Linked DNA regions of Ovis aries. Each later gene encodes a partner of the first gene's protein in a complex. Links are inferred from orthologs where the notes say so. Each region holds a gene or a part of one and is shown in the gene's direction. Other genes may lie near its edges.

Region 1 (4,890 bases):
ATGGCGTCTGCACGAAACAGCGGCCCATCTTCATCATCACTGAGTACATGGCCAATGGCTGCCTTCTGAACTACCTGAGGGAGATGCGCCACCGCTTCCAGACTCAGCAGCTGCTGGAGATGTGCAAGGATGTCTGTGAAGCCATGGAATACCTAGAGTCTAAGCAATTCCTCCACCGAGACCTGGTAGGATCTCAGAAGGATTGGTCTGGGTCCAAGGGTGAGGGGGGCGGAAGTAGCACAGGAAGGCACATCATGCATCCATGGCTGAGGAAGGTGGCTGGAGCCGTGATTTCAATTTCATCTAGAAAATACTAAAAGTTTGGTGAGCCTCTGCCCCAGTGGTCAGCTGGTCAAGGAATTCCAGCCTCAACACCATAAGTTTCCCCACAATGGGAGCTGTAATGGTCACTCGCAGCCCCTCCTACTATGACGAGGAAATGGTGGAGTCCTCCAGGGACAGAAGGGCAGCCCTCATCCTGATGGAACTGTTTTTTAGCACAGGACCATCATTCTGGTTATATCAGAGTCACAAACTGGGTGTCTGTTGGTGCATTTTTAAATGTTATATTATTAGTTACCAAACACTTAAAAACATTTCACATTAAAGAACTGAATTTACAGCTTCCCATGAAAATTGACATCATCTTGTATCAACAGACCCATATTCTCATAGGCCATGTTAACTGTCAGCCTATAAAGTATGGGCCTGGTATTACAGGATGGTCTAGCTGATCACAGGAAAGTGGCTGGCCTCCCTTAAACCAGACACTTTCCTGACATCTCCACCTACCCACTTCACTCTATCACTTCTCCTGCTTGGCCTCCCGGGGCATATTTATTCCAGCCATGCCAAGGCGGAAATAGCCCTAGTCCTGTCGGTAGAAAAGCAGAAAACAAAACACACTTGCCTTCTGTTCTCCCTTAATTCTCTCGACATTTCAACGCACGAAGGGTTGTCATGGAATTACCAGTGTGAGTGAAATCATGCTTCAAGTCTTCAGTGCTTTACTTATTATGGGGGTTGCTCTATATGTGATGGAAGTATATCGAAATTCCTCAGTGGCATCAGCTGACTCCTGTTAGGTGGGAAGGTGTGTCTAGATAAAGGAGATGAGGCTTCCCACCTCTGGTGGACAGAAGCTTTGTGCCCTTAACCTGTGCACCAAGGACAGAGTCTCACTGGTGTCTGTTGCACTACAGGCAGCTCGAAACTGTTTGGTTAACGATCAAGGAGTTGTTAAAGTATCTGACTTTGGCCTGTCCAGGTGAGTGCAGTCTTTTTCACCTTTCCCTTTAAAAGTAAAACTGGCACAGTACAAACGTGAGGTGACACTGTAACTTTTAATCTTCTCCCTTTCCCCCTATAATTCTAGTTTTTTCCACCATCTTTCTATACCTTTTCTTTCTCTGAATGGTTTAAGTCACTTTTCATCCTTCTGTTTTATTGTTATAGTCCTCTCTTCTCCTTTCTCCTTTCTCTTTTTTTAAAAAGCTAATTTCCCCAATATTCTGTCTTGTTCTGTTAATCTTGTTGACTTTACTCTGTCTCCTTTCCTAATGAGCCTAATTGCCATTGTTGACTGCAGGATTGAAGGAAGGGAAGGATGGGAAAAGAGAAAAGAGGGAAGGGAATACCTATTAGACCTTATTCCACTTCATCCTTGCTGTATCTATACTGTCAATCAGGAAAGCTAAGTCAGATATGAAAAGAGGAATATGTTAGTAATGGCATTTGTAAAAGACACTGGTTCGCCTGCAGTATTTGTGCAACTCTTATGGCTCTGCCAAGAAATTTTAAGCAAATATCAAACTCTCCAAATTGTAACAGCAACAAGTCCTGAATCCTTTGCAGGTATGTTCTGGATGATGAATATACAAGCTCAGTAGGCTCCAAATTTCCTGTCCGGTGGTCTCCACCAGAAGTTCTCATGTACAGCAAGTTCAGCAGCAAATCTGACATTTGGGCTTTTGGTGAGTGGATACGATTACATGGCTTATACAGCTCAAAAGAAAATGAATGCTGTTGGGAAATCCACACTCTGCAACCTGCACAGAGAGACTGTGATTTGTTCTTGCTTTCATTCATCTAATCCTTAGGGAATCGGGCACCACAGGGGTTTCTGGGGATTAAAAACAGTAAAGTAGACACGATTCCTGCCTTCTTAGAACTTAGAATCTATTGAGGGAAACAAACAATTCATTCAGTATTCCACAGCTTCTGAATACTAATGATGTACCAAGGACTCTGCCAGACTCTATAACCACAAACACAAATAAGATGTTGTCTCTCTCCTAGAGGAACTAATGGTCCGTGGCAATCCTGATTACCTCCAGCGTACTCAGTACTATAGCAGAAGTTTGAACAAAATTTTAAAAAAGCCCAGGGGTGGGGTGGGGGGTGGAACGAGCTGAATGTAATGTTTGAAGTTGATCTAGGAACACTAGGATCCCTCCTACCTAGAAACAACACATTTTGTTTTTTCATTGTCTAGGGGTGCTGATGTGGGAAATTTACTCTCTGGGGAAGATGCCATATGAGAGATTTACTAACAGTGAAACAGCTGAGCACATTGCCCAAGGCCTGCGTCTCTACAGGCCTCATCTCGCTTCGGAGAGGGTATATGCCATCATGTACAGCTGCTGGCATGAGGTAAGTGTTTTAGTGGGACCTCTTAAATTATTTCCTTGAACGTACTTTCCCATGTAGCTGACCAAGCACCCACAACCTACTCTTCCTCGCCATATAGCAACTGAGCACAGACAGATAGCTGTACACATTCTCAAACCCCAGCCTACATTCCAATCCTTTCATGACCAGAAGTTTTTCCAGGCCCACTCCAATTATCGCTAGAGGATCATTCAGTTCAGTTCAGTTCAGTTCAGTCACTCAGTCGTGTCTGACTCTTTGCGACCCCATGAATCGCAGCATGCCAGGCCTCCCTGTCCGTCACCAACTCCTGAAGTTTACTTAAACTCATGTCCATCGAGTCAGTGATGCCGTCCAGCCATCTCATCCTCTGTCGTCCCCTTCTCCTCCTGCCCCCAATCCCTCCCAGCATCAGAGTCTTTTCCAATGAGTCAACTCTTTGCATGAGGTGGCCAAAGTATTGGAGTTTCAGCTTTAGGATCAGTCCTTCCAATGAACACACAGGACTGATCTCCTTTAGAATGGACTGGTTGGATCTCCTTGCAGTCCAAGGGACCCTCAAGAGTCTTCTCCAAAACCACAGTTCAAAAGCATCAATTCTTCGGTGCTCAGCTTTCTTCACAGTCCAACTCTCACATCCATACATGACCGCTGGAAAAACCATAGCCTTGACTAGGTGGACCTTTGTTGACAAAGTAATGTCTCTGCTTTCCAATATGCTATCTAGGTTGGTCATAACTTTCCTTCCAAGGAGTAAGCGTCTTTTAATTTCATAGCTGCAGTCACCATCTGCAGTGATTTTGGAGCCCCCAAAAGTAAAGTCTGACACTGTTTCCACTGCTTCCCCATCTATTTGCCATGAAGTGATGGGACCAGATGCCATAATCTTCGTTTTCTGAATGTTGAGCTTTAAGCCAACTTTTTCACTCTCCTCTTTCACTTTCATCAAGAGGCTTTTTAGTTCCTCTTCACTTTCTGCCATAGGGTCGTGTTACTCCAATACCATCTCGGCTCTAGGGAGAGGGGTGTCATGGGGCCATGTCACCTAGCATAAGTAGGCAGCCAGAGGCATTCAGACAAGTGTATGTACATTAAAAAAGAAAACTAATTAAAAATTGTGTTCATTCCTTTGGGAGTCATTGGCCCTTTCTTCTACTTTACTAACTGCACACTTTTTCTGGCTGTGGTCCTAAATGAGATTTTTTTTTAAATGCTAACACCTGAAAGAGAACTAAAATAGGTAGGTCTCGTGGTTTTTTTTTTTTAATGCAGTGCATTATGGGATATGTGGGTAGATGTGGTATTTTGCAAATAAAGAGCCTGCCCCGCTATTATTAAAATGCTTTGCTGCTCTCACCTTGGGTTCTTCAGGAGTGCCTACTCTATTTTCAATAGATCCTTGGCAACCTTAATTTAGCAAACTAAATCTCTAGTAGGAAATGAGTGCTCAGCTCTTAGTTCTGCCCGTTTAGCAACAGGGAAAGACTGACAGTGTCCAGCAAGCACGTATGTGAATCTGCAGCCATCCCTGTGGGGTGAAAAGTAGGCATCTTGGTCAGAACATGGCTCTTTTCCCTTTGACAAATGACTCAGGTCACAAAGAAAGTGTGGAGAAAGGGAGAACGCTAAGAGCCATTTCCCTTCTCTCTCCTGTGCTGGGCAGGATTGAGGGTAATTGACGCTGCTGCTCTCTACCAACTAGCACATCCTTACTCTGCTACTTAAGTATTTCAGATAGGCACTTTCTCCACAGCCTGTTAACATAGTAGTCATGAAACTGGAATCACATCAGAATCTCTGTGGAACTCTTAAAACTACAGATGACTGAGCCTTACCTCCAGAGATTCTGACTGGGTATGTCTAGAGGGGGCCTCGGGTATGTCTTTTTAAACTTCCCAGGAAATTCTGATACTCAGTTAGGTTTGAGAATCACAGATTCAAAGGAACAAAAAGTTGATGACTTCTGGGTTCTGATGGATTGAGACTTTTCTTGCATGAATATATCTTGAATCACTAAATACCTCATGGGCTTATGGACCATGGCTGCCACAAAAGGCCTTAGTCTGAAGGCCAGATGGTTGTAGTAAGAGGTCCCGGGTGCTTAGGATGCCTGCCCAGTGAAGCAGCTCCTGCTCTTGACATGTTCATTCCTTTGTTAACTTTGGCTTTAGGATGGTAGAAACGAGTGGTTGAAACCTAACAAAAATTATAACAGCTTATAGGATTTCAGTTCAGTCAACC
Region 2 (4,195 bases), on another chromosome or scaffold:
AAGAGAAGAAAAATTTCATGTAAAGGATTTTTGCTGTCAAAAAGTAAAAATCACTCATGCACAAAACTACCTCCCAAAGACTTGTCCTGGATCCCTCGTATCGAAAAATTAAGAGTGTGATGGAAGATAGCACAGTCTTGTCAAATTGGACAAGTGGCAACAAACAAAAAATGACATACGACTTTTCATGTGAGCTCTACCGAATGTCTACATATTCAACTTTCCCCACCGGTGTTCCTGTCTCAGAAAGGAGTCTTGCTCGTGCTGGTTTTTATTATACTGGTGTGAATGACAAGGTCAAATGCTTCTGTTGTGGCCTGATGCTGGATAACTGGAAACAAGGAGACAATCCTATTGAGAAGCATAAACAACTGTATCCGAGCTGTAGCTTTGTTCAGAATCTAGTTTCTGTTACTAGTCTGGAATCCACTTCTAAGAATGCTTCTTCTCCAATGAGAAACAGTTTTACTCACTCATTATCACCCACTTTGGAACATGGTAGATCATTCAGTGGTTCTTATTCCAACCTTTCACCAAACCCTATTAATTCTCGAGCAGTCGAAGACTTTTCCCCACTGAGGACTAACCCCTACAGTTATGCCATGAGTACTGAAGAAGCGAGATTTCTTACTTATCAAATGTGGCCATTAACCTTTCTGTCACCGTCAGAATTGACAAGAGCTGGCTTTTATTATATAGGACCTGGAGACAGGGTAGCCTGTTTTGCCTGTGGTGGGACGCTAAATAACTGGGAACCAAAGGATGATGCTATGTTAGAACACCAGAGAAATTTTCCCAACTGTCCATTTTTGGAAAATTCTCTGGGAACGCTGAGGTTCAGCATTTCCAATTTGAGTATGCAGACACATGCAGCTCGCCTGAGAACATTTATGTACTGGCCATCTACTGTACCAGTTCAGCCCGAGCAGCTTGCAAGTGCTGGTTTCTATTATGTAGGTAAGAGAATGTATAGCTGTATGTTTTATCTAGTTCATTTTGATTAATATATTAGAACACGTGTGTATTCAGTTATTCTTGTGTTTTCTTTAGGTCGCAATGATGATGTCAAGTGCTTTTGTTGTGATGGTGGCTTAAGGTGTTGGGAATCTGGAGATGACCCATGGGTAGAACACGCCAAATGGTTTCCAAGGTAATTGTTTTGAAAGGTATTTGTATATACAACTCTGTGTGTAAAAGATGTAGGCATGTTTGTGTATTTTAAGTTTACATTTCAGTATAAGAAAGCTTCTTTATACCATTAGAGAATTAGCCTTTTAAGACACCAAATTGTAACAGTTATTTTGGTAGAAAAATGTAGAATATTCTGTGATTTTTTTCTTTTATAAACCATGTGTTCAGGATATAATTTAACTTATTCTTGATGCCTCATTCACAGTTGTGGCCATACATTACATTTATGTATTTTCCATTTTGTTTAAAGTATTATAAAAATATGTAAAGTAGAGCAAAAAGGCGATACATTAGGAAAAGATAAGGAAAAAGAAAAACAAGGGACATTAAATGAATCTAGGAATAGGACAAATATAAAAATGCATATAATAAAAACCTAATTGTATAATCAGTTTTAAGTGATTATAATTGTAAATTATTTTTTTCTGTACAGTTTTATCTTTTTGTGATATGTCATGTATCTCTCTTTAGTCACTCTGTTTCTACCAGTATGTCCTATTTTTTTTTTTACTATAGCCTGGAAAGAATTTAGAGGCAGTGCTGTGGGTGGAATGTTATTGAGTAGTTGTATGAACTTGGACAAGTCATGTGACCCCTTTGAGCCTTTCCTCATCTATAAAATGAGGAATTTGGAATAGGTAATACTGTCTTTTTAAAAAATTATAAAATGTACATAACATAAAATTTGCTATTTTATCCATTTTTAAGTATACAGTTTTGTGGCATTAAGTACATTCACCTTATTCCTCATTCATTACTACTGTCAATTTCCAAACATTTTTTATCTTCCCAAACTGAATCTTGTATTCATTTCATTAATTCCTTATATTCCCAGCCCCTGGCAACCACCATTCTACTTTCTGTCTCTGTGAATTCAACTATTTTAGGTACTTTATAAGAGTGGAATCATATCATATAGATAATGTTTCGACTGGTGAGTGACTTTCCTAATAATGAGGAATCTCTAAATTTTTTTTTTTTAGGAAAAATCATGTTTTATTGTCATAATTGTATTTATTTTTGGCGTCTCTGTGTGGCTTCTGGGATCTCAGTCCTTATTCAGGGATTGAACCTGGGCAACAGCAGTGAAAACACCAAGTCCTAACTACTGGACCACCAGGAAATTCCCAGTTGTCAGAATTTTAAATGACTTGATTGTCCTTGGCTCTACGAGATTGGCTTATTCTGTAATTTGGAATTTAATACTATATTAAAAAGACAAAAACAGCTTTCTGATTAACAGTGTTTCATTTGCTATAATTTTTCCTTTAGAAAACAAGACCAAACAAAATCTTGGTTTACTTCTGTAATTAGTGTTTTGCTTGAAATGGTTACATAAGGGAAAAGGCCAGAAGTACTTTTTGTAAACACTTCTGAAAACAACAAATTTCAATTGTGGATAGTCTTTCATCTCAGAAAATGAAAATCCAAAGTGGATAATCATTATCATTGTATTTTTAACACAGTTTATTTATTCACTTATTAAATATTTGTATGCCTACTAGCTACTATTTTACTTCTGTTATTTCTCTCTCTTTTTTAAAAATTATTATTTTTTCTTTTTTTAAAATTAATTTAATTTTATTTTTTTAATTTTAAAATCTTTAATTCTTACATGCGTTCCCAAACATGACCCCCCCTCCCACCTTCCTCCCCACAACATCTCTCTGGGTCATCCCCATGCACCAGCCCCAAGCATGCTGCACCCTACGTCAGACATGGACTGGCGATTCAATTCTTACATGATAGTATACATGTTAGAATTCCCATTCTCCCAAATCATCCCACCCTCTCCCTCTCCCTCTGATGTTATTTCTCTCTTAACATTTTTATTCATAATCATTCAAAAGAATTTCCTTTTTCATAATTACTAATATTTACACGACAGTGTGGAATCAAATGAAAAGTCAATCCAAAGCAAAACGAAGAAGAACCAAATTAAAGAGAAAGGCAAAAATTGTGGTACTGTTATTACATATGAGGTTGAAACTGGTAGATAAAGGCTGATTTTGCAGCAGACCAGTAAGAATACTGGGATCCTGTTGATTGAGCATGATAATTCATGATAGTCACAGCATTATCTGGTGGCAAGAGTCTTAGGAATAAGTAGTTAGAAGTAACAGTGGAAAATCATGATGATCTTTTTTTCCCCCTTCTAATATCATTTTTTAAAAATTGAAATACAGTTAACATACATAATATGTTTCAGGTGTGCTGTGTCCTGATTTGATGTTTGCATATATAATGTTGTTACCATGATAAGCCTAGTAACCATCTGCCCCTATACAGTTATTGCAATATTGTTGACCATATTAAAATTTTTTTTTTTCTTTGAAGTATAAAAATTGCTTTTGGCTTCCCTTGTGACTCAGACAGTAAAGAATCTGCCTGTAATGCAAGAGACCTGGGTTTGATCTCTGGGTGGGGAAGATCCCCTGGAGAAGGGAATGTCTGCCCACTCCAGGATTCTTGCCTGGAGAACTCTATGGACAGAGGAGCCTCGCGGGCTACAGTCCATGGAGTTCACAAAGACTCGGCCACGACTGAGCGACTAACACTTCAACAACAAAGTCATAATTGCTTCTAACCACATTGTTTTTGCTGTATGTATATTATGTCCCCATGGCTTATTTATTTTATCATTGAATTTTATATCTAAATCACTTTCACCTATTTCCCTATATGCTTGTGAATACTACTTTAGATGCTGGAGATATTAACAGTGAATAAGATACGACAGAAATCTTAGTCCTCATAGAATTTATTGGAAGGAGGAAATATGGAGCAGCCAATGTTCAGTATACTTCCTATCTTTAATCATTATAAGTTAATCCCAGAATAAAAATAATTTAGACCTATATTAAGATCAGGAACAAGCTGTGTTCTCGGCATGATGACTTGAGTCATGAGCATGTTTACATGATCTCTACTAAATCTACCTCAGTCACCACCTGAAGGACATTGGGTTGTTTCCATTTTGGAGCAATAATGAGTAAAGCCACTC

What was found.
Region 2: the proteins of BTK (region 1) and BIRC2 are in contact, whole or in part, in a crystal structure (PDB 6W7O), measured with the Homo sapiens proteins. The link is inferred for Ovis aries from reciprocal best matches to the Homo sapiens genes BTK and BIRC2. Residues at the interface, in NP_000052.1 of Homo sapiens: Leu483, Asn484, Arg487, Glu488, Tyr551, Ser557, Lys558, Arg562, Lys595, Met596, Tyr598, Glu599, Arg600, Phe601, Thr602, Glu605; in NP_001157.1 of Homo sapiens: Pro280, Ser281, Ser282, Asn301, Asp302, Asp303, Arg314, Cys315, Glu317, Ser318.

Annotation. Positions count from the first base shown.
Region 1 is NC_056080.1:133,028,206-133,033,095, reverse strand, and holds part of BTK (tyrosine-protein kinase BTK), read left to right. Parts: coding exon 1-185; intron 186-1,202; coding exon 1,203-1,267; intron 1,268-1,854; coding exon 1,855-1,973; intron 1,974-2,494; coding exon 2,495-2,652; intron 2,653-4,890. UniProt on the Homo sapiens protein: Non-receptor tyrosine kinase indispensable for B lymphocyte development, differentiation and signaling. Binding of antigen to the B-cell antigen receptor (BCR) triggers signaling that ultimately leads to B-cell activation.
Region 2 is NC_056068.1:6,039,492-6,043,686, reverse strand, and holds part of BIRC2 (baculoviral IAP repeat-containing protein 2), read left to right. Parts: 5' UTR 1-56; coding exon 57-957; intron 958-1,050; coding exon 1,051-1,150; intron 1,151-4,195. UniProt on the Homo sapiens protein: Multi-functional protein which regulates not only caspases and apoptosis, but also modulates inflammatory signaling and immunity, mitogenic kinase signaling, and cell proliferation, as well as cell invasion and metastasis.